7 separate regions of the Mus musculus genome follow, and regions 2, 3, 4, 5, 6 and 7 are each reported to be linked to region 1. Evidence: microRNA targets listed by miRTarBase, many of them from high-throughput screens and not tested one by one. Region 1 holds a microRNA gene; each other region holds the end of a gene's coding sequence. Distances are from middle to middle.

Region 1 (3,134 bases):
AAAGTCCCCCATATCCACCCACCCCCAATCCCCTGCCCACCCACTCCCCCATTTTGGCCCTGGTGTTCCCCTGTACTGGGGCATATAAAGTTTGCAAGTCCAATGGGCCTCTCTTTCCAGTGATGGCCGACTAGGCCATCTTTTGATATATATGCAGCTAGAGTCAAGAGCTCCGGGGTACTGGTTAGTTCATAATGTTGTTCCACCTATAGGGTTGCAGATCCCTTTAGCTCCTTGGCTACTTTCTCTAGCTCCTCCATTGGGAGCCCTATGATCCATCCATTAGCTGACTGTGAGCATCCACTTCTGTGTTTGCTAGGCCCCGGCATAGTCTCACAAGAGACAGCTACATCTGGGTCCTTTCAATAAAATCTTGCTAGTGTATGCAATGGTGTCAGCGTTTGGATGCTGATTATGGGGTGGATCCCTGGATATGGCAGTCTCTACATTGTCCATCCTTTCATCTCAGCTCCAAACTTTGTCTCTGTAACTCCTTCCATGGGTGTTTTGTTCCCAAATCTAAGGAGGGGCATAGTGTCCACACTGGGATTAAAGGAGTATATCAGCACTCCTGTCAAAAATTTTTAATTAAAAATAGATTGGTTGATTGCACATGGGTGTTTTCCTGCATTTTTGTATGTCTGTTCAGCACCTGCATGCCTGGCACATGTAGAGGATAGAAGAGAGCATGTGTCCCCTAAAACTGGAGTCAAAAATAATTGTGAGTTACTTTGAGTGCTGTAAGTTGAACAAAGGTCTTCTAGAAGAGCAGCCAATGCTTTAACTAATGAGTCATCTCTCCTGATCCAGATTTTATTTCATTTTTTATTATGCATATACTGTGGGAGCTTGTGTATGGATCTGTACACACAAATGCAGTGCTCTCATTAGCCAGAAGAGGGCACAAGAAACCCTAGAGCTCCAAGCTTAATGGCAGGATTGTAGAAAATATATAGATTAGTCTAATTTACACAATGAATTCCCATCCAGCCAGAGTTACATGGGTAGACCCTGTCTCAAACAAATAATTATGTATGCTGAACAACCTCCAAATTGACTAGAGTGAATACCTTAAATTGATTCAGTAGCTAAAAGGGTTTGTCAGGTCCATCTCTTTATTCTGCCCCAAAGGAAGAAACATAAGCAGTCCCGTTGACAATTTAGCTGGGCACTGGAGAGATGGATGGCTTTGTGGTTCAGAACATTGGCTGCTCTCTTCGAAGCACCTGGGTTCCATATCCTGTACTGACATCAGGTGGCTAAAACCATCTTTAACTCTACTTCAGAGAAACCAACATCCTCTTGATCATCTTGAAGCACCTGCATGCTGTAGTACACATACAAACACAAGCAAATACATACATGTATGCATAATATATACATGCAATATGCATACATGCACATGCACATGCACACATACATACATACATACATATTCTTTAAATTTAGCTCTAGGGCCTGGCATGGTGGGACATGCTGTTAATGCCACCTCTGTGAGACTGTGGCCAGGCAATTCTACATAGCAAGTTCCAGACTAGTCAGCTTCATAGTGATACCCTTTCTCAAAAACAAATCAATTAGCTTTTGCACATGCATGCACTTGAGAAATTGAAGTAGGAGGGTCAGGAGTTTGGGGTTCATCCAGGCCTACATGAGATCTCCACCAAAAAACAAAATCACTTTAGCCAAAATGATTAAATTGTGAGGTGTGCAACAGTATATATGACACACAAAGATGCATGAGCTTATGTACAGGAAGAGAGCAGAAAGGACACTGAGTGGCCTGCTCTATCATTCTCTGCTTTTTCCCCAGGCAGGATCTCTCACTGTACTTAGAATGGGGCCCCAGTGTTCTTCTGTTTCTGTTCAATAGCACTGGGGATATTGGGCAGCACATACTTTTTCATGTGGGTGTTGGGAAGCTGGACACAAGTCCCTAGCTTGTGCAACAAGTGCTCTTACCCACTGAGCCACCAGGAAATATGTAGTAGATTTTTTTTTAAATTTAATATCAAAGCGAAAAAGTCTGCATGATTAAAACTAAAGCCCTCGTAGCATGGTGGTATATATCTCAGCTGAAGACAGAAGAAAGACTGTAAAACTCGAGGCCAGCATGAGCTATCTAGTAAGTTCTAGACTACCCAGAACTACCTTGTAAAACTACATTGCAAAACACAAAGACAGTGAAATAATCCATTATCAAGTATTGCAGAGAAACCCAGCTTTCCAGCGTGGAAGTGGAAAGAGCCATCTGGGACAAAGTCTGCATAAAAAGACGACTGCACAAAACATGGGGAGCAGATTTTCTAGCTTGCTCTTGCTGCAGGGGGCCTTCCTAGAGGAAACCAATTGTTCCTTCTCCATGGAGAAACTCAGATCCATGAAAGTGGGGCAACGTGACTCTGTAATCTTATATTATCCATATTTCATGATACAGGAAGGACTATGTGCCTCATAGACCTAAATTAACACGAACAAAGAAGAGATTAGAAATTGCTTCTCCCTTGCTATGGAAAGAGACAGCATTTCACAGGGCCATTTATTGTCACAGTAACAAATGTTAACTTTGGAACTGGAGAGATAGCTCAGCGGTTAAGAGTACTGACTGCTCTTCCAGAGGTCCTGAGTTCAAATCCTAGCAACCAAATGGTGGCTCACAAACATCTGAAATGAGATCTGATGCACTTTTCTGGTGTGTCTGAAGACAGCTACAGATATGTATATTGTATATATATTGTGAGGTGTGCAACAGTATATATGACACACGCAGATGCATGAGCTTATGTACAGGAAGAGAGCAGAAAGGACACTGAGCGGCCTGCTCTATCATTCTCTGCTTTTTCCCCAGGCAGGATCTCTCACTGTACTTGGAACGGGGACCCAGTGTTATTCTGTTTCTGTTCAATAGCACTGGGGATATTGGGCAGCACATACTTTTTCATGTATGTAATACATGAAATACAGATATATTATTATACATAATAAATATATAAATCATTTACAAAACAAAAATATAAATAAATAAGCAAATGTTAACATTGAAAGTATTTGTAAGTTAAAACACTTGAATATTGCTGGGCATGGTGGTGCACACCGATAATCCCAGCACTCAGAAGGCAGAAGCAGGCAGATCT
Region 2 (3,108 bases), not on the chromosome of region 1:
ATAAAAGCGCTGGTATCGGTGAATATATAATGTGCTGCCTCACAGTGTTCAGAAATAGTTCAGCCCTGAATAGTTTCTTCAGCCCACCAAGTATGCACTGGCTTTGTGCTCATTTTCTCACATCCCACTTCCTTCCCTGAACCAGCCTCCTATCTCACTTATAATTATAATCTCAGACTATATTTATCTCCTTGTAACAAAGCAGGATCACTGCAATCCCAGTATGTGATGGAATATATTAATCTTAAATGAGCTGTTAAATTCCTACTAACGAGAAAGCACTTTCATGGGAGTCATGCATCTCACGGACATGTACTAAGAAGTCATGTTAGGAGCTGATAGAAATGGGAATATGGGAAGGCCAGGTGGTCCTGCAAACATTTAAGCAAAGCTTTTCCAAAGACCCCCTTGGTTCCCAGTACCCTAGCCTGGTCACTGACAGCTCGGGTCTCTCAACAGGGCTTTAGTCGCCAGTCTTCACTCCTGTTCAAGATTCTTTCCAGTGTTCGGAATCACCAGATCAACTCAGATTTGGCTCAGTTACTGCTCCGGCTAGACTATAATAAATACTATACCCAGGCTGGTGGGACTCTGGGCAGGTAGGAACAATTCATGGGGCACTTACTAGATTTGGAGGAGGGGGTTAATGAACAATAGAAGACCAAAATGCAACTCTGGCCATCACCTCCAGATTACCCTCATTTTATAAACAAGGCTCAGAGATGCAGGAAGGGGTTGGGGGTATGGGAGTAGGGTGATCATGTTCTACAATTTTACTGGAATTTATTTTCTAGTGAAGTTCATCAGCATATTAAAATACTAAAGCTGAGGGTAAGGTCTGTGTTAGGCTATGTACTGCTATGTTCTGGGGGCAGTCTGGCTTCCACTGCCTGCTCTGACATGTACTAGCAGCAGTGTGGCTGTGGTGCCATGCTCTCTTCTAAACTTCCTTAAATCTAATACTGATATCCAGTGGTCATCGTCGGCTTCTTAAGAGAGCTGTGTTGTTGCCATGGTGTTAGCTCTATCTCAGATTGCCATGTTTCTTTGGAAGGCATGGCATTTAATGAAACTTTTTTTTTCTTTTATAGTTTTGGGATGTAAAAGAAAACTCTGGTTCAAAAAATGAAACAGCCCTGCCACATTCTGATGTCTGTAACAAATCTCTCAAATCATTCATCAAATGCCTGCAGACTGCTGAAAGGGTCTTCTAGAAGAAATGCAGAGGTATAAAAATCCTCCCTGCCATTCCTGTAGGGGAACTGGGGTCTGATATCCCTCTGCTGACCACACGAAGGATTTTGAAGACATCTGTTGGGTGGGTTCATTTGTGTAACCGGGGTTTATTGAACACTTACTATATTCCTATGGAAGATAACCACAGTAAACAGTGGGTTGGCTCATGTAAGAACGGAATCACGCTCCTGAACAGGTCAGCTTCTGTGTCACCACCAAATGAGAAAACCCTTCAGAGAGCCTGTGAGCTTTCCCTCTTTCTGTACCTTGTAACTACACAGACTATCTTTATCCTTCCCTAAAATTTAAGATTTGAGTATCCTTTATCTGAAGAATTGAGCCAGTGAGTTCTAATTCTTTCAGACTAGTAAAAGGGCAATTCTGGCTAAAGAGGATAGAGGTCAAATTGTTTAGATTTAGAAACAATTTAGTTTTCACTGCAACCCAGTTTTCCCACCTTAGACCTGCCACATGAGTTAAGGTTTTATGGTCAGATAGCCTAGCCACCACGGGCTGAGAACATACTAATGTTCTCATCAGCATAAACAAAACACTTCACTGACATCTTTCCCTCCAAGCTGGACAAGAATGAAACATCCGGGCCTCAGTCTGTAGTCACTGAGTCCTCTCTTCATCTACACTGTCTACCAACCACTATGAAAGCCTGAGCCCGTACTTGTCAACTACCCAGGAGGATTATCCCACCTTGTTACCTCACCTCTAAAAGCAGATAACAGCCTGCTGCTTGTTTTTGTAAATAAAGTACTATTCAAACAGCCACACATACTCAATTTAGCTATTGTCGGTGATTGCTCACAGACAAGACAAGTTGTTGAGACAGACAAGTGTGGTCACAAAGCCTAAAAGTATTTACTATTTGGCACTATAGAAAAAATGAGACCGCTGGCTTTATTTAGAGAATGAGAAGCCGTTCGCTAACAGGGATGATGATGATGAGTGTGAGGAAGGAATAACTTCCAACAGTTGTGACAGCTTATTTTATAGAAAACCGTCCCAGCAAATTTATAGTCACTGTCCATTCATTAACAACTGGTCATGTTCATGTTCCCAGTAGCAGGTCATCTGTCAATAAACTCCTGATACCCAGAGCTGTTCCCAGTCCCACTCAACTTTAGCACTACTGTTTACCCAGGCCCTCACCTACTTTAAACTGTTTTTGGAAGTATAACATTTTAGGTAGCCTGGGATAACCTTGACAGTGATGCCACAAAATAAAGCTCACTCCTCTATTTTTATCTCCCTTTGTTTGCTGTACTGCTAAAGTGACAAGCCTGCTGACAACTTCAGAGAAGATCCTATGTTTATCATGTTCTGAGATTAAGCTCAAAGAAACAGATGAAGACATCCCAGTTACTACAACCAAAGAGATTCAACATTTATTTTATCATAAAAGTCCAGCAAATAAAACTATGTACAAGGTCCATGCAAAGAATACAATTACACACAAGACACACTTAAAACCTGATTAAAACACAATCTCCACAATAGCAGGGAATAAAACCAGTAAGACCAAGTATCTTTAGTGAGAAACATAATCATGTTTATATTTTGGATGCTGCTTGAATCCAATTCTCTCCCCAACAATGAGGCACTGGATCACCCATTCTTGTGATACCACAGGCAGTTGCAAGGCTTCAGCACACTTGAGCACCGAGGCTGGGCATGAGGGGTCTGTCACCACCACATCAAATACCCCTAAAGCAATGTCTGTAAAAAGTAGGGGAAGTGAATGAGGGAGGGACACTCAGTTTAGCTCCTATTAAAACAAGACAGGTGTGCCTTCTAACAGGTATTCCCTACTCTGCCAAACCAAAGCCCTCTACTCTAGGTACTGTATGTTCATAATCTAAA
Region 3 (3,134 bases), not on the chromosome of region 1:
AAGGCCGCTAAGTAGATGCATAGCCAACAGATTTCCAAGTCATGAGCTCAGATATCAGCTGGTTAAAGGAGCAGCTATTTCTCTTGCTTGCTATTGGCTGTCAACCACAAAGATGTAATTGATGCCCAATGACCTTTTATTTCCATGTTCATATGTGGAACTTCACCATTGCTTAAGAGGTGAGAGTCCCTGGGAATTCATGTGTGCGTAACGCTCGGGATTTCCTTCCAACTTTTCCAGTATCGGCAATGGCTGAGAGAAGAGTATGGAGAGAACCCTTTGCGGGATGCAGAAGAAGCCAAAAATATTCTGGGTAAATATAAAGAGCAAGGGCGCATGGAGCCCCGGCCTAGCAGCAGGCGGTGGAGCAGCTTCTCAACCCTGCCTCCTCTCACCTACAATAACTACACAACAGAGACCTAACAGAGAGAGCTGGTGTCTGCCTTCCTGCTGCGGGTCTTCTGGGTTGCCTACCATGTGCTGGTGTGCCTGGTGTGCTGGCTCCTGCCTCTGAGGACTACGAGAGGAGGTCGCAGCAAGGTGGAGCACTCAGGGCTCCTTCTCAGAATACCGCCCTACTCAGGCTTTTTCACTCTCCCATCTTCGCCCCATCTTTTCCTCACCTGAACTTGCCCAGCCTGGGATGCTGCCCGGCCACCGTGTACTTCTCGTATGTGTGCAGGCGTGTGGATGTGCATGTATGTGTCTAAGAGTGTGCATATATACCTACAAATGTATGCATTGTGAACAAGTACACATGTAAATGTGTCTCTGCATGTGGGCACTGAGTGTTTATGGTGCTGAAAGTTATAAACACCCGCTGCCAGAACTGCAATGGTCACATTGTTCAGTCCACATGGAAGTCATTTGAACTTGGCCTCTGGAAAGCTACTCACCAAGTAACAGCTTATGCCTGTGCTGAGTGAGAGCTCAGGGTGTGGGCAGCTGGAAACAGTGGTGTTCCAGATTCTGAGATGGCACAGAGGAAGGGACAGGACCCTCCTGAGGAAGAGTGGCATAATCCTAGAGAGTTTTATGTCTGTGGGAACAAGGGAGGGGCTTTCTGAGCACTGTCTTGGACTTGATAAGTATACTTGCCAGCCCGTCATGGCCCTGAGTTCCACTGGTGCCTGCTCTGCGTGGGACCAGCGTCATTTGACTTTCATGGTGATATGGTATGGTGACAGGGTGGACCTGAGACTCAGTAGCCCTATACCAGAGGTCTGGCCCACCTCCTGTCTGCTTTTAAACACTTTAGCCTCTGGCTTAGCCTCTTGTTGCAGGGGTCTCATCTCAGGTTTGCATGTACCTGCAGGAACTGGAAAGAAAGGCAGTTATTAAACTCCATAGCCATTTGTGATTTAAAATGCCTACGCATTCACTGAGCTCATTGTTGTATGCTGTGGATTTGACCGCTACCTCATGAAGTTCCTTCCTTCCTTCCTTCCTTCCTTCCTTCCTTCCTTCCTTCCTTCCTTCCTTCCTTCCTTTCTTTCTTCTTTAAGGTTGAGGTTTCTTTGGTACCCCAGTCAACTCTGCTTCATAGTTGAGAATGTTTGTCATGTGACTATTGTTTTTGAAACCAAAGAGAAGAGCATACTTATGTCATTGAGTGATTTAAAATTTGCAGCTTGGCTTCTGTAAGGTTTTCTAGTGAGTCAAACCCTACATTCTGACCATGAGAGCTCCTTAGTTCAAAGTATGTGGCAGCAGGCACCCCTAGAAGCTCTGCACAGTCCAGTGTCCAGTCCTTTATGCCAATTCACGTTGCTTAAGCATGCAGGACCATGCAAATGAAAAATACACTCAACCTCTCCCTAAACGTACTGTGACCAGGCATCTCTGAAGCTTAAGAAACCCCCAAGAAGCCCCCGAGGAGCTGGACAGTGGTGGCACACACCTTTAATCCCAGCTTTTGGGAGGCAGAGGCAGGCGGATTTCTGAGTTCAAGGCCAGCCTGGTCTACAGAGTGAGTTCCAGGACAGCCAGGGCTACACAGAGAAACCCTGTCTCGAAAAACCAAAAAAAAAAAAAAAAAAAGGAGAAGCCCCTGAGGAAGAAGCAGCAGGCCTCTCTCTGTGTGTGTGGAGCCCTCAGGGACCCAGGGAAGGTGTGGTTGCCAGCTCTCTGTGTGCAGGCCGTGCCAAGCAATAGCATGAGTGACGCCTGAGTACCTGAGTATGTGTGCACGTGTATGAACAGCTGCATACCTTTCCATAGGTTCTCAACTGTCTTAATTTTTGTTGCCAGTAATGTTCTTTCTCCACAGCTGCCCCGGGAATTCTGAAGTACTGGGCCTTTCTCAGAAGACTGTAATGTACCTGAAGTTTCTGAAATATTGCAAAGTTCAGGCTGGTGCTGCCAAAAAGAAAAGTGATGTAAAGTTTATTTTTAAGAATCCAATAGTGATTTGTATACTTGTTTTTTTTTCATTTTAAACCAAATGCATGTATAATCATGTTGGAATATGTTAAGATCTATGGATATTCTGTAGCAAGAGAAAATATCTTTGCCTTAACTCCACTGCTGTGGTTGTTCCTTGGACCTGACCGATGCTCATACAATAATCTCAAGAGCCCTGTCTGTTTCGTAATAGTAACTACTTCTCATGAACACTACCCAAGGAGGAAGCCTGCACCTGGGAAGTGTGCAGTGTGAGCTCTGCCCTCCTGTTAAGTTCTCCAGCTCTAGACATGTCTCTTGGTGTGTGTTTTATCTACTGGTGTTATTCTATATGGTAGAATTACCAAAAGCTATTCAGATTTCTTAATAAAGGGCAAATCAACCAAGCCTGACATCATGTGCAGTGTGTTCTTTTGTGACGTGCAAAGGTCACATGTGTTTCTCTGGAGGATCCCAGTGCACCTAGCCTTGGCTCAGAAGACATGCTCCTCTCGAGAAGGCAGAACAGCACATGCTAACATAACACACAACATAACACACTGATGACTAAGGGAAAAACTGTCCTGGGGCTGTTGGGGCTGGAGCTGGAGCTCAGAGTAACACCCTCACCTTGTGTCTTCCCTCCTTGCACCAAAAAGAAACTATGGACGTAAAGAAGTCAGACACGGTGAGACTTTCCCTGCAGAATGAACACTTTGAGTCTTTGGTCTCTCAGGGGTGAGTGCGCGTAC
Region 4 (3,134 bases), not on the chromosome of region 1:
GAGAAAACGCCTCCACCAGATGGGCCTGTGGGCAAGCTTGTGTGGCATCCTCTTGATTAGTAGTTGCTGTGGGGGAGCCCAGTTCACTAGGGAAGGTACCACTCCCGGGTCCTGGGTACTATAGGGAAGTAAATGAAGCCACGAGAAGAAAGCCGGCCAGCACCACTCCTCCATGGCTTCTGCTTCGGGTTCTCCTCTGACTTCCCTCCCTTGGGGATGGAGTTATGTGTTTTATCGCAGCAATAAAAACCCCAGGACACAGCTAACTTGTTTTCTTTTGAGACAGCCTCAATATGATGTCTCAGCTGAACTCAAAGCTTAGACTCCTACCGTGCCTACCCACTTATCTTTAGCATTTGTTAGGGAAATAAATAGACCACCAAGCTTTTCTATTTTGCCCTAAGTGGCATACCACTGTAAATTGTAATTTTGTACTCCATAGGTGGGATTTGCCAAGACTAGCACATACCTGTAACGCCAGCACTCAGGAGGCTAAGGCACAGCTAAGTCAGTCTCAAACTCAGGGGTTAGGGAGGGGCATGGCTTTTGTCTTGAAGTCAAAATAAGTTGAAAACACCTTAAAAGCACAGGCCACAGGCATCAGAGAACTCTGCAGTACCATGGCGGAGGGAAGCCCCCCTCCTAGCTATCTGGACTCAGTCCCCACCTCTGCCACTTACTAACCTGTGAGTCTGGGTTCCATCCTCAGCTTCATAAACTAAAGGCAGGACTCTAAATCCTGTCTCCCTTATTGTTCATGCTGGGAGTTTTAAAGTTCTCTAACAATTGTGATCTACAGAAAGTTCCCACTTATGAAGACATTAAAATGCACCCACAGGAACCTAGCAAGGTAACGCATCTGGATTTACCACATGTGAGTGCACTGGCGGGTTTTAAACAGAGTATGACTGAAGAGGATAAAGGGCACAGGAATGGAGACAGTAACAATAGCAGCAAACTCTGATCCTTAGGGTCGAGTTCACAGGGAAGTACAGCTCAAATCCACTTCAACAGCCATGGAGGAAACCGGTCACATATGTAGAAACTGCTGCTGGAAACACTCAGTGGTTAAGGGGACTAAGTGTGGTTCCCAGACCCAAGTCAACCAACCACCTGTAACTTTAGCTCCTGGGGGGGGGGGACCCAACTCCTCTGGCTTCCCAGGACAGCTGTACCTCAAGTACAAATGCCCACCCCACATTTAAAAATAAATCTTAAAAAAGAAAAAAGAAATCAGAACCCAGAAGTTGCTGTGAGAATCAGGAAGAGGTTCCCTCCCACACCCTGTCAACATCTCCCAAGTTAAACAGTGGCAGCCCAGTCCTCGTGGGAGTCAGCCCCATGAGAGACCAGTGCAGCCTACTGGATCCTAGAATCCTGTATTTTCTATGCACTGACACTAACGTGTCATTAACAGCTCTTTGAAGTACCAATTTGTATTTTTTTACATGTATTTATTTGGGGTTTGGGTCTGGCCACCTCTCACACATGGAGGTCAGACAAGCACCTTTGACCACTGAACCATCCTGCCTACCCCTAATAAATTCCTGGTATTAAAATAGAGAGAGGCTAGAGAGATGACTAAGTGACTAGTGCTCTCAGAGAAACTAGGCTCAGTTCCCAGCATCTGCATGGTGGTTGACAACCACTTGTAACTCATTTCAAGGACTCCCAGGCCGTCTTCTGACTTCAGGCACCAGGAACATACAGGCAAACACTCATGCACATATATCTAAAAAAAACAAAAAACCAGGCTACTTCTCACTGACCCTGAAGCCCACCTATGTAACCAGGCTAGCTGTGACTAGTAACCACTTAGCCTTTCCAGTGCTGGAGTCAGGTGTGTATCATGTGCTAGGGGTCCAAGCTCAGGCCCTCACACTTATGTGGCGAGCACATCACTGACTGAGTCACTTCCTATCCCTCTGCCCCCCATGACGGCAGCCTGTTGCCCTGGCAGCCAATAAAACACCTAAGCCTTTGAGAGCTCTTCAATTCTGTGCACGCTTCAATATTCTGATTAACTTCCACATCTGTGTCAACTGTAAATTAAACCTAATACATACCTATGCTCATTTCCTGTTTACCAAAACAAAAAACCCTAACAAGACAGTTATGACATCTAACACTCACACTTAGGATAGGAAAATGCTACCCTATTAAGGCACCAGAGAGAGAGCTGTGGATGGTTAAACGTTACTTCAGAAATAAAAAGGTTGTCTAATGTAATAAGGGGTACTCATATTAAACTAAGTCAGAACTCTACCTTACAGTACTTCTACTCCAAATTAATGTTCAGTAAAAGCTATGCCTGACTGTGTGTGTGTGTGTGTGTATGCATAACTAAGATAATTACTTTATTAAACGGTAAAGTCAGTAATTGATTAGGCTGAAACAACTCTACAGAGGTACGACTGCTTCCGTGAGTAATTTCAAACAGGATATATACAGATCAGTAAGACATTAAGGGCTAAGTAACTGGATTTTTATTTTAATACACAGTATGAGAAATGAACTTGTAAATCAACTGAATTGTATGGAAAATGAAACAGTAAATAAATTAGACCCATGTTTAACACAGAAGGTCAGCTAATGTTCAAACTTAAGGCTATCATGGACAGGTCAATTCCACCAGTCTTCTTTAAAGGTTGAAGTCTTCCAAGTACAACTTTGCTATGAACTGGCCCAGAGTTCATCAGCAAATGGGAATGCTTAACAGGGGTGGTGATCGGGGACACGTTTCCTGTAAGGGGAAAAAAAAAAAACAACCCACACTATTAAGGAAAAGTAAACAATGACAAGTATGGTTTCAACTATATTTTCATTGACTACAAATACGGCGAGAACCTCTGTCTCAGTAGTCACTGCAGGCCCACTTCCCATGAGGACGGAACACCACACAATCACTGTCACTATTAGGAGGACACAGGACAATTCAGCAGTGTGCAGGCCTGTACTCAGCAGTTCGCAGTGCCTGACCCAAACAGCTACTCGATAAACAATACACTTCCCAAAACAGGCTAGCCTGGTTTTTGCTTTCTTTCCATCTTGTGAAGGTCACATCTTACCACACACCCTAAGACTAGACTTGAACTTGCAAGCATCCTGCCGCAGCCTCTAAGGAATGCACTACC
Region 5 (3,134 bases), not on the chromosome of region 1:
GCCACTGTCCATTTATTTATTGTGAACTGTTAAAAGCGCATTTGAGTTAAGTCATTATTGTATTTGTTCAAGCATGTGTGTCAGGCCCCTTACTTGGTAATGCAAATTGTTAGTGGTAATATTAACAATGCTTGTATCTCCCTCTTCCCCCCGTTCCAGGATCCTGATGCCTTTTGTGAAGACCTGCCTAATGGTCTTGCCTTCCGTGCAGACAATATGGAAGAGTGTGACAGACGTTGTCATTGGCCCATTGTGTACAAGTGTGGGCCGCAGCTTCTCATCGGTCAGCATGCAACTGAGCCACGACTGACCACTCAGACCCTGGGCAGGTCCAGACATTTGGATACTGTACAACTTTATTGATGCAACAAACTCACTACTGTTCTGTTCACTTCCCAACTGTTAAAATTATTCTTAAAATGGAACCCAGATTTATCGAAGTTCACTGTCAGATCTTTAAAAATAATGATTTTTCTCACCAAAAGCCAAGTTATATCTAATTATATAACAAGAATTGGCAACACCCAATGTAAGAACAGATATCTTTAGGAAAAAACATACAATTGCAGTGATGACTTGATAATGGTCAAAGGGCAACTTCCTCAGACATTAGAGTAATTTTGTGCATAACTGCTCATAAAGAGTAAGGAATTTCTTATTTTCTTTTCCTCTAGGAGTAATGTTCTTGAAGCTACTTTTACAGATATGGTCATAAGGCTAGCTAGAGGCAATACATTCCAACATTCTAGGAACTTTGTACATTAACAAAAGTATATACTTATGATAATAACTATTGAATAGTAAGAGAGATAAATGTGAAAATGTGTTCCTCTGTGATATTATTAGCCTGCAAGCCTATTTAACAAGATGTTTTGTTTTTCTGTATATTGTATACCTAATGCAAGTGTTACTCTAATGAAATCGCTTTGGAGTGTGTTTCTCTTGTGTTTGCTATTGTACTAATCTCATTATATAAAGTAAGCAGAGCTACCATAGGGTAACTTTCTTTGTAAGACTGTGATGTCCTATAGGAGAATGTTGATAGATTCTTTGGAATGCAGTGTAAAATGTGCTGTCTAGGTGTTCTCTCCAACTTACCCAGCAAATGTTTTATGACTGGGCTTCATCTGGCTGTGACCATAAGACATGTAGACATGTAGTTGTTTTGTTTACTATAAGTTTTCTTCTGAATGGTTAGAAACTTATTCTGTATTCTACATTCCTATGAATGCTTCACTTACTTTCAAGTAATTCTGGTGCTAGTTAATAATATTTTTTATGATAAAGGCTGTGTCTAACATCTAAGCACATTTTTTTTTTTACTACAGTGGTTCATATAGAGAAACTTACAGGAGAATTAACAATTGTGAGGGTTTATAAAACTGAAGTACATGTGTAAATTAGAAACTAACATTACAAATTTTCAAGATGTTCTCTAGTATGAATCTTAAAACCTATAAAACATTATTTCCTTACTCAGTATGGTCTTTTAAAAATTGGTATGTTAAAAAATTTCTACATTATAATTACATAATATTTCAAATTTCAGAATTATTATCAAACCCTGAATGAGCATTTGCTCGAATATGCTCATGGGTGTCAAATCTTCACTGAAAGAAGATAAATTTTTTTCAATTTTTCAATTCTGGTCATTATTATAGGTCATTGAACTGGGATTCTATTGCAGACCAGGTCAAAATATCATATTAAGAGACTAAGTGATAAAACTCATATCAATTTGATGGTAATCATAAAAGAAACATTTCAAAACAGCCTTAGGGTATTGTACCATCCTCAGTAAACGAAGTCATAGCTTGGTAATAGCCACAAGCATCGCCATTAATGTGACTGTCAAGATTGTATCACACTAGTTTCCAAGGTCAGTCTCATGCTTTATATTATTTTTGTAATTTAAGTTTTAAATGCCTGGGTGTATTGATTAGTCAAAACTTTAACAATAAAATATCAGTTTAATAAATTATAAGCTTCAACCTTTTAAAATAGTTCTGACAGATTTTAAGACAAATATGTATAATTATATATAAAAATCTTTAATTTTTAATATATATGATTTCCTTTTCCTAAATAGTATTGATTACTTTCAACTGAACTTTTACTGAAACTTTTCATGAATTATTTTGTCTCAAAAACTCAAATTGTGGATAAAAGGAATCAAAGTTAAATATGCAAATATGTTGATTTTGGGGGCAGGGCAATTGGAAGTCAGAGGCAAAGAAATTCCCTTATTATCCATAATAAACATCTCTAAAAACAGTGGATGATTTCATTGATTCTATTATAGTTTGTCTTTCTGCTGCTTATGTCGTACATCTGGTACTCAGGAACAAGAACCTTTTCAAATAAAGTTTCTTAAAATCTCAAATAACAAGGACACGAGTTGCTGTTCCAAGATGTATCTGTCAGGATGAAGAGATGGGTAAATGGTTATGGTACTTGCCATACAAGCAAATTAGAGTTTTGGATTCCCAGAACCCAGATAGAAGCCATGCAAACTTGGCAGTCCATTTTTAGCTCCATCATTCCAAAAACAGAGATGGGATCTCCAGGGCCAGCTGGCCGACTAGTCATATCCACAAGCTCCGAGGTCAGCTGAGAAATCTTGCCTCAGCCAACAAGGTGAATAGTAATAGAAGACTTCTGACATCAAACCCCAGACCTCTGCATGCATACAGCTGAGTGCACAACCACGTACACAAGTGTGTGCACACAGGAGAGAATGTGGACGCACACACTGCAAATGCACATGAGGAAAAAGAATGTTGTCCTGAAGAATTATGAGACTGATCGTTTAGTTCTCTGTTTTCCTAGCACTTGAAGAGATTCTGCATAAATGTTCCTGTCATTTGATAACTAATATGTGGTGGCTTGCTCACAAACCAACCACGCTCGAGCTTTGTAAAGTTTCATGTTGCTAATCCTAAATAAACTGATGCCTCTATTTCTAAGTCTTAAATATGAAAGTGATACCATTATAACTCACATACTAAAATACCTTGTATCCCAAAGCCAGATTTCTCCAAAATTATTTTTGGAGAGTAAGTGTGTGAGGAACAACTGTTGATATTGGCACAGACTTTCTTGTGGTCAATTAATCTGTTAATAAATCAGATATT
Region 6 (3,114 bases), not on the chromosome of region 1:
CATGGTTATCACCAAGGTAGCAGACAGCTACCCTGAGCCTGCCCGCCTACTAACAGGGTCCAAGTCTGTGTGTGAAATAAGCAACAACTGGTTCCAGTCCCTCTACCTTGGGGCCACGTTCTCCTTGGAAGAAGGAGACAGACTAATGGTAAACGTCAGTGACATCTCCTTGGTGGATTACACAAAAGAAGATAAAACTTTCTTTGGAGCTTTCTTGCTATAAGGAGGAGAAAACCATCATTCCAAGGGGCTCCCCTGCCTCCTACTTTCCAATTTCCTTTTCTCATATGGATCTATAAACAGGGGCTTTAGAGGGATCAGGGAAGGGGACAGTGGTTTAGCTATATAATTTAGGAACCCAATATTGATCCGTATATGCCTTATGGACTAAAATAGTAAATGGAAAACCCAGTACAGCTCATGTTTGATAGAGACCTGCTGGGTTTTAAAAATTGAAACACGCCTCATCCAATGGCACAATCTACTGATTTCAGGACAGAACCTTTCCACAGTGCCCTCTGTCCAAGTCCTTTCTGAATTCAGCAGTTCAGTTAGAGCTGAATTCGACAATGAACTTACTCCAGATCAAGAGCTAAAGACAGAATCCAAAGAAAGACTGAGAAAATGATGTTATTTCTCCAAGAGGCAATGCATTTCCACATTCTTTTGTGCCTAACCTAAAAAATAAGAAAGAAGAAAGGAAGGAAGGAAGGAAGGAAGGAAGGAAGGAAGGAAGGAAGGAAGGAAGGAAGGAAGGAAGGAAGGAAGGGACAAGAAAAGACAAGACAAGACAAGAAAAAAGAAAAAATGGTATTTCTCGTGAATATTCCCTAAAAGGAATTGGTTTTCTGCTGTGAAGGAGAAACCTCACCTTTCTTCTGATTGCATCCTTTAGTATCCAAACATACAAGTGGGAATTCCAAATGCACATGGAACATAGAACACTTTTATTATTGTGAGAACATGTTTATTGAGTACCTACTATGCTCTGGGCACTCAGCCCACAGGACCATGAAGAGAAAGTCAAATTTTCTTAAAAACTAAATGAATCCTCAATACATACTTCCTGATCAACTACCACTCAAAATGTATAACTTCCAAAGTATAACTTCAAGTCAGCCATCTAGGTGGTTTCTTGGGTAAAGGTGCTTGTCATTAAGCCTGACACCTGGGTTTGACCTCCCAGAACCCAAAAGCTGGAAGGAGAGAATTGGTTCCCACAAATTATCCTCAAACCCCCATACAAATGATGTGGCATGCACACATGTAACTAAATAAATAAGTGTAAAACAAAAACAAAAACAAAATTTTAAAGAAAAATTTCAAGTCCTGAAAGACAGCATTCCTGAGAATGTTGTCTCCATCGTTGTCCAGTATAGGCTAACCAGCTGATAGAGACACTGAAGGAATTTAAAGACAGACATCAAGTGAAATGGAGCACTGTAGAAACACTTGATTCATGCCAGGAGTCAATGTACTATGAAGACCAACAACAAAGTGTCAGTCATCAAATCCAGAGGTGTTTATCTAGATCTGCTTTCAAGTTTGGTTTGCAGCCTTTATATAGTCTCTATTACAAATGCTCGTGTCATGGTAGATGCCACAAGGAGTCAGAGGGTAAACTTAGCCCCAAACCACTGCTGAGCCATCTTCTAGGAAACCTTCGAAGCAGAGCTGGGCAGCGTGACTCCCACACAATGACTGGGAAAGTAGTAGCTGATCAAAATTTGTTGAGTAATAATTTGTTAGAAAATTCATCTCCACTGCCTACTAAACCTAAGTTGTATACTATCTAGCTTCTGCTAAGCCAACTTACATTGGCCACTTTTTCTGTCTTCAACTTCTTGAAGTATCACAGGTCTCAGTGAGAACACAGGGAAAGGTGAGGTCGCCTTCCCCTGGTTCTTCATAGGGGAAACCACACCTGAAAGAAGATGAGCAGCCTGAGGTGACCTGGAGGAAGGGCTGTCTCAGAAGAAGGACTTATTTTTTGGCTTAGGTCTAAAACCTTGAGAGTAATGCTCACTGGTCAATTGAGGATGCTTTATCAATGACTCCAGTCTGACTCCAAGGTCAGAAAGGAGAGTGAGATGCTCTCTCTGCCTGCATATATCTTCATGGAACATGAGAATATTGAGCAACATAGACTTATAGGAAAACACTTGCCCAAAAGTAGCCAGAGTGACCTGGTCATCCCCTCTACTAAACCCAAGCTTTGTGTCAAGGGCCTTCAAAGCTGCCCAGAAGTGATCTGGATGGCTTGGGAATTTATCCAAGACAGGAATTTCCTGACAGCCAAAGATGCTTGAGTCCTTGTGCCTGACATGCATTTATTTTGCCCCTGTTTATTGAAGACTGTAACTGTTGATTTGTGGGTATACATACATACATACATACATACATACATACATACATACATATGCTGTCATGAAGGCAGCATCAAACATTACTAATTGGACTCAAACCAGCATTTCTGTTTCCAAGATACTAAGTATTCCCATGCAAACAGGAGCATGCTATTTTTCTAAAGCAAAATGAAAAAAATAGTTTTGAAAGTATATATATGATGGAGTCAAGTGTAATGGCATACATCTGTAAACCCAGCACATGGGATGCTGAGCCAGGAGGATTGCCGTGAGTTTGAGGAGAACAGGGGCTAAATAGTAATTTTCAGGAAAGCCTTGCCTATATAACAAGACCTTGTCTCAAATGAAAAAAAAAAAAAAAATAGACCCCAGGCTGGTCCTTGGAGATAAGGTAATATATTCATTGGGTGAGGGGGTGTGTGTTTTGGAAAATAGTTAATTTAGTGAGAAATGCTTTTCGGTCAAATGCATCTCAAAGGCTGCTGAATTCAAATCGGGTCTGTAAATGCTTACCTAGTGCTTGCTTGCCCTGGGGACAGAGACATAAATTACTTTAGTCTCAGATCCACTCGTTCTAACAGATTGGCATCTCCATCGTCTGTGGAGCTTTTAATCACTCTGTTTGTATTAGCTAATTAATTAGCTAACTTGAGACACACTGATATTTTCTTATTATAAACATGGGTGCCATTTGATAAAAGACAATCATTAACAAAATGGTTCGAATTTCCGCTTAAGTGATCTTCTT
Region 7 (3,000 bases), 56 Mb from region 1:
TCACCACAACCACATCAGCAACTGGACAGCCCTTCCGTTACCATAGAATACAGCACAGGACTGGGGTCTAGTATAAACAAAGGACATTCTCTCAAGCTTCCAGATAAATCAAACCACAAACAATAAATAATGGAATTATACACTTCTTCATTAAATAGAATTTTCAATTCCTGGAAGAGCACTCAGAATTGTTTTTGTTTTTTTGTTTTTTGTTTTTTTTTCTGAAGTCACAGCAGTAAACAGCACAAAGAATTTGCCTTAATATGATCTTTTTATTTGGGATCCCCTGATTCAATTCGATTTCAGTGGCTTAGTTCAGAACCCTCTGAATGGCTGGAAAGTGAATGTCACTTTTAACTTACAAAATAAATTAATTTTCATGTATGATTCCTGTGCAACTGGACACTAATATGGCAGCTCAGAGTCCAGACTCTCAGCTCTCCTCCCACCACTTTCCATGCTGGGCTGGGGCTCTAACACAAGTTACACTCAACTAATTTCTGGTCACTTTGTGTCCCTAAGGCTGGTAGTGTGTCTCCAGCCCTGACCTGGGGCCTGAATAAAGACTGAGAACACAGCTTTGCAGGTGCCTTAGAAGGGGACTCTCCATGGAGGTAACCTTTCAGCCAGGGTCACCACAGCCATCCCTATCTTCCTGGGTCCCAGCTATCACTCTGGCCTCATGCTCTCCCTGAAGGAGGCTATGGGCCACATCAGCAAGTCCCTGAAGCATCCTTTTGCCTGTTCAGGAATCCCTGTGCCACCTAGGCACACGCAAACCCAATGTTCTGCGGTCACAGCTACTCTGGCCAAGACGGCAAGCTTTGGGCTTGAGTGAACAACACTGCTAGCCTGAACTCAGGGAAACCTAATTCTGCTTAATTATGTTAGGAGGGGAAGACTTTACCCTCTATGCCTTCAAACTGGCAATTCTGACAAGAAAGGAGAAGCCCTTATCCTGCAACCTTTTGATAGCAAATTTATTAACAGTTTATAAATATTTAAAAAATTTGTCACAGCACTAAGAATGGCATGGGGAACTTAAAAGGGGGTGTCTTCAAACTAACATAACGTCAAATGAAGCAGTGAGTGTGTGTCCCCAGGAACACCCATGATGCCTAGGGCCTCTGGGCCCTCCCCCTTGTTACTAACACTTTACTACATCCGGGTCTTTCTTGCACATACTTGTCCAACCAACCCAGAAAATTAAAATATTTGTCTTGAAGAGCTTTACTGTACTCACCTTCAAAATAGACAGGAAATACTTAATTAGCGTATCAGCAATTTGCCAGGCTTACAAAAGGGTGCCCATTAGAGACTTTCCCCTTAAAATATATATGTATACATATTACCAGGAAGGCAAAAAAATCCACCAAGAAACCACCCTGAAATATTTAGTCATTAAAGTAGAATGGTTTAGCAAGAATGTGGGCTATTTCTAGGGACCTCTGTCATCACCAGAATATGAAATTTGTTCTTTAAGGTGAAATAAAACACAAAGTTTAAGGTGGAAACTGAGGTGATCCTGGTGGCCTGCTGTGGGATGGAGGTGGTGATGATGGCTCCAAGGGGCACAAGGAAGCCAACTGAAGAACAGGAAGAGCAAACCATCCAGAGACGACACCAAGAGAGTTGCACAAGAGGCACCATTTTTTGTTTTTGTTTTGTTTTTTAAAAAACAGAATACACTGGCTTTAAAAAGTTAATTCCTTTCCCCATTGATTTTGTTTTAAAAGCACAATTCAATAAGAGAGGGGGTGGGGGAGTTGAAACACAATGTTTCAGGGTAGTGTCTTACAGTTGTTAAAAAAAATAATTTAAAAAAAAAGCGCACACCAAAGGAAGCCGAGGTCCTGGGTTGGTTTTTTTCATCGGAAAGCTACATTAATTAGAAGGGAAAAAGGATTTTTAAACAGCTCATCTGTACTCATTAAAAATGAATGAGGCGACAGCATTACTGTAAGTTTCTTCACAGAGAATTTTCCAGCATCACCCAGGATCACAGGAGGTGAGCCTGAGACCTCCAAACTTTAAGAAGTATTCCGTCTACTGGTTCCTAGTACCGTGTTCACCAATGAAACCAGAGCATCAAAAGGGAAAATTCTCTGCTTCAAACCTGTCTATATTGTGCACTTAGGAAAAACAAATTTTCTAAATGCAGTATTGTATAGAAAGGCTTGGACCTCATCGACTTGGACCAAGAAACCAAATTAAGACCTTCAAGCGTGGGGTGTGTATGTGTGAGTGTAGACACACACACACACACACACACACACACACACACACACACAGATCCCTCCCCCAAATGAAATCCAAACAAACATAAACCTAAAAGTGTATACCTGCTTTCTGACTTGACCGCAAATCAGAAATTGCATAGGATATACTTTGTGCAAGGCCTGAAGCCTTTTAAGTATCTGGAATAACTCGTAATCTTGTCCACAGTCCAGGTGTATCAGATATCATCAAATTTGTGTTTTAAGTAGTCTTTCATGACCTTGGCAATTGGTAGCTCATCAAGCAGCTTCAGGTTTTGAAGGCCTATACACTGTCGAATTTTAATTCGGCACAGGTCCTGCAGGGTTCTGGGCTGTCCTAAAATGACAGAGAAAAGAGAACGTTACAGAGGTACAAAGCATTGGAGAGGGAGGGATGTGAGGGAAGGCATTGTCTGAGGAAGGGTCTACTGTGGATCTTACAGTCAAAGGACTGACCGAGATTCTCAAGTGTCATCTGTCCCTTCCTGTGGTGTCTCACCCACTTGGTCTTTTCCAAAACTCTTTACAAGGCGGTAATGTTATGGTCTGAGTATGCAATGGTCCTGTCAGGCACCCGATTAGAATATTCTGTGCCTGAATGATGGTACTGCCTTGGTGAGTGCTGTGGAATCTCCAGGAGGTGGGACATAGCTAGAGGACAGAAGTCAACGAGAGCAGAGCACTGGGAGTTGATTATTATTCCTGGATCCTTTTCTGTGTCCTCTTCTCTAACAGGCAGATG

What was found. Region 1 holds the annotated microRNA mmu-miR-297a-5p (AUGUAUGUGUGCAUGUGCAUGU, at 1,401-1,422, opposite strand). A microRNA usually pairs through its seed, bases 2 to 8, with sites in the 3' UTR of a target mRNA and lowers its output. Matches are read on the target gene's strand: a 7mer-m8 pairs with bases 2 to 8, a 7mer-A1 pairs with bases 2 to 7 and ends in A, and an 8mer does both.
Region 2: miRTarBase lists Trp53bp1 as a target of mmu-miR-297a-5p. The part of its 3' UTR that is shown has no 7-base or 8-base seed match.
Region 3: miRTarBase lists Dusp22 as a target of mmu-miR-297a-5p. Seed matches in the 3' UTR shown: 7mer-A1 at 2,558-2,564.
Region 4: miRTarBase lists Cct2 as a target of mmu-miR-297a-5p. Seed matches in the 3' UTR shown: 7mer-A1 at 2,533-2,539.
Region 5: miRTarBase lists Cav2 as a target of mmu-miR-297a-5p. Seed matches in the 3' UTR shown: 8mer at 556-563.
Region 6: miRTarBase lists Tnfsf15 as a target of mmu-miR-297a-5p. Seed matches in the 3' UTR shown: 8mer at 903-910, 7mer-A1 at 1,240-1,246, 7mer-m8 at 2,380-2,386, 7mer-m8 at 2,384-2,390, 7mer-m8 at 2,388-2,394, 7mer-m8 at 2,392-2,398 and 5 more.
Region 7: the mRNA of Asb7 is a reported target of mmu-miR-297a-5p. Seed matches in the 3' UTR shown: 7mer-m8 at 2,234-2,240.

What each region holds. Positions count from the first base shown.
Region 1 is chr7:10,957,077-10,960,210 of GRCm38, forward strand. Mir297-1 (microRNA 297-1) reads right to left here and starts at 1,436; the gene lies at 1,361-1,436.
Region 2 is chr2:121,195,644-121,198,751 of GRCm38, forward strand. It overlaps Trp53bp1 (transformation related protein 53 binding protein 1), which reads right to left. Exons shown (of 28, transcript NM_013735.4): 28 at 1-2,964. The coding sequence ends at 2,777. Tubgcp4 (tubulin, gamma complex associated protein 4) reads left to right here. Exons shown (of 18, transcript NM_153387.3): 17 at 460-599; 18 at 1,092-3,108. The coding sequence ends at 1,104. Among named protein-coding and RNA genes, the nearest start is that of Tubgcp4, 26 kb to the left of the region's middle.
Region 3 is chr13:30,708,437-30,711,570 of GRCm38, forward strand. Dusp22 (dual specificity phosphatase 22) reads left to right here. Exons shown (of 7, transcript NM_001037955.4): 7 at 241-2,796. The coding sequence ends at 423. Among named protein-coding and RNA genes, the nearest start is that of Irf4, 39 kb to the right of the region's middle.
Region 4 is chr10:117,048,534-117,051,667 of GRCm38, forward strand. It overlaps Cct2 (chaperonin containing Tcp1, subunit 2 (beta)), which reads right to left. Exons shown (of 16, transcript NM_007636.3): 16 at 2,464-2,743. The coding sequence ends at 2,713. Among named protein-coding and RNA genes, the nearest start is that of Lrrc10, 4.8 kb to the left of the region's middle.
Region 5 is chr6:17,286,738-17,289,871 of GRCm38, forward strand. Cav2 (caveolin 2) reads left to right here. Exons shown (of 3, transcript NM_016900.4): 3 at 160-2,393. The coding sequence ends at 310. Among named protein-coding and RNA genes, the nearest start is that of Cav2, 7.1 kb to the left of the region's middle.
Region 6 is chr4:63,726,698-63,729,811 of GRCm38, reverse strand. It overlaps Tnfsf15 (tumor necrosis factor (ligand) superfamily, member 15), which reads left to right. Exons shown (of 4, transcript NM_177371.4): 4 at 1-3,114. The coding sequence ends at 223. The region is part of intron 1 of Gm42294 (a long non-coding RNA gene); the gene reads right to left. Among named protein-coding and RNA genes, the nearest start is that of Tnfsf15, 17 kb to the left of the region's middle.
Region 7 is chr7:66,645,331-66,648,330 of GRCm38, forward strand. Asb7 (ankyrin repeat and SOCS box-containing 7) reads right to left here. Exons shown (of 6, transcript NM_080443.2): 6 at 1-2,595. The coding sequence ends at 2,456. Among named protein-coding and RNA genes, the nearest start is that of Asb7, 43 kb to the right of the region's middle.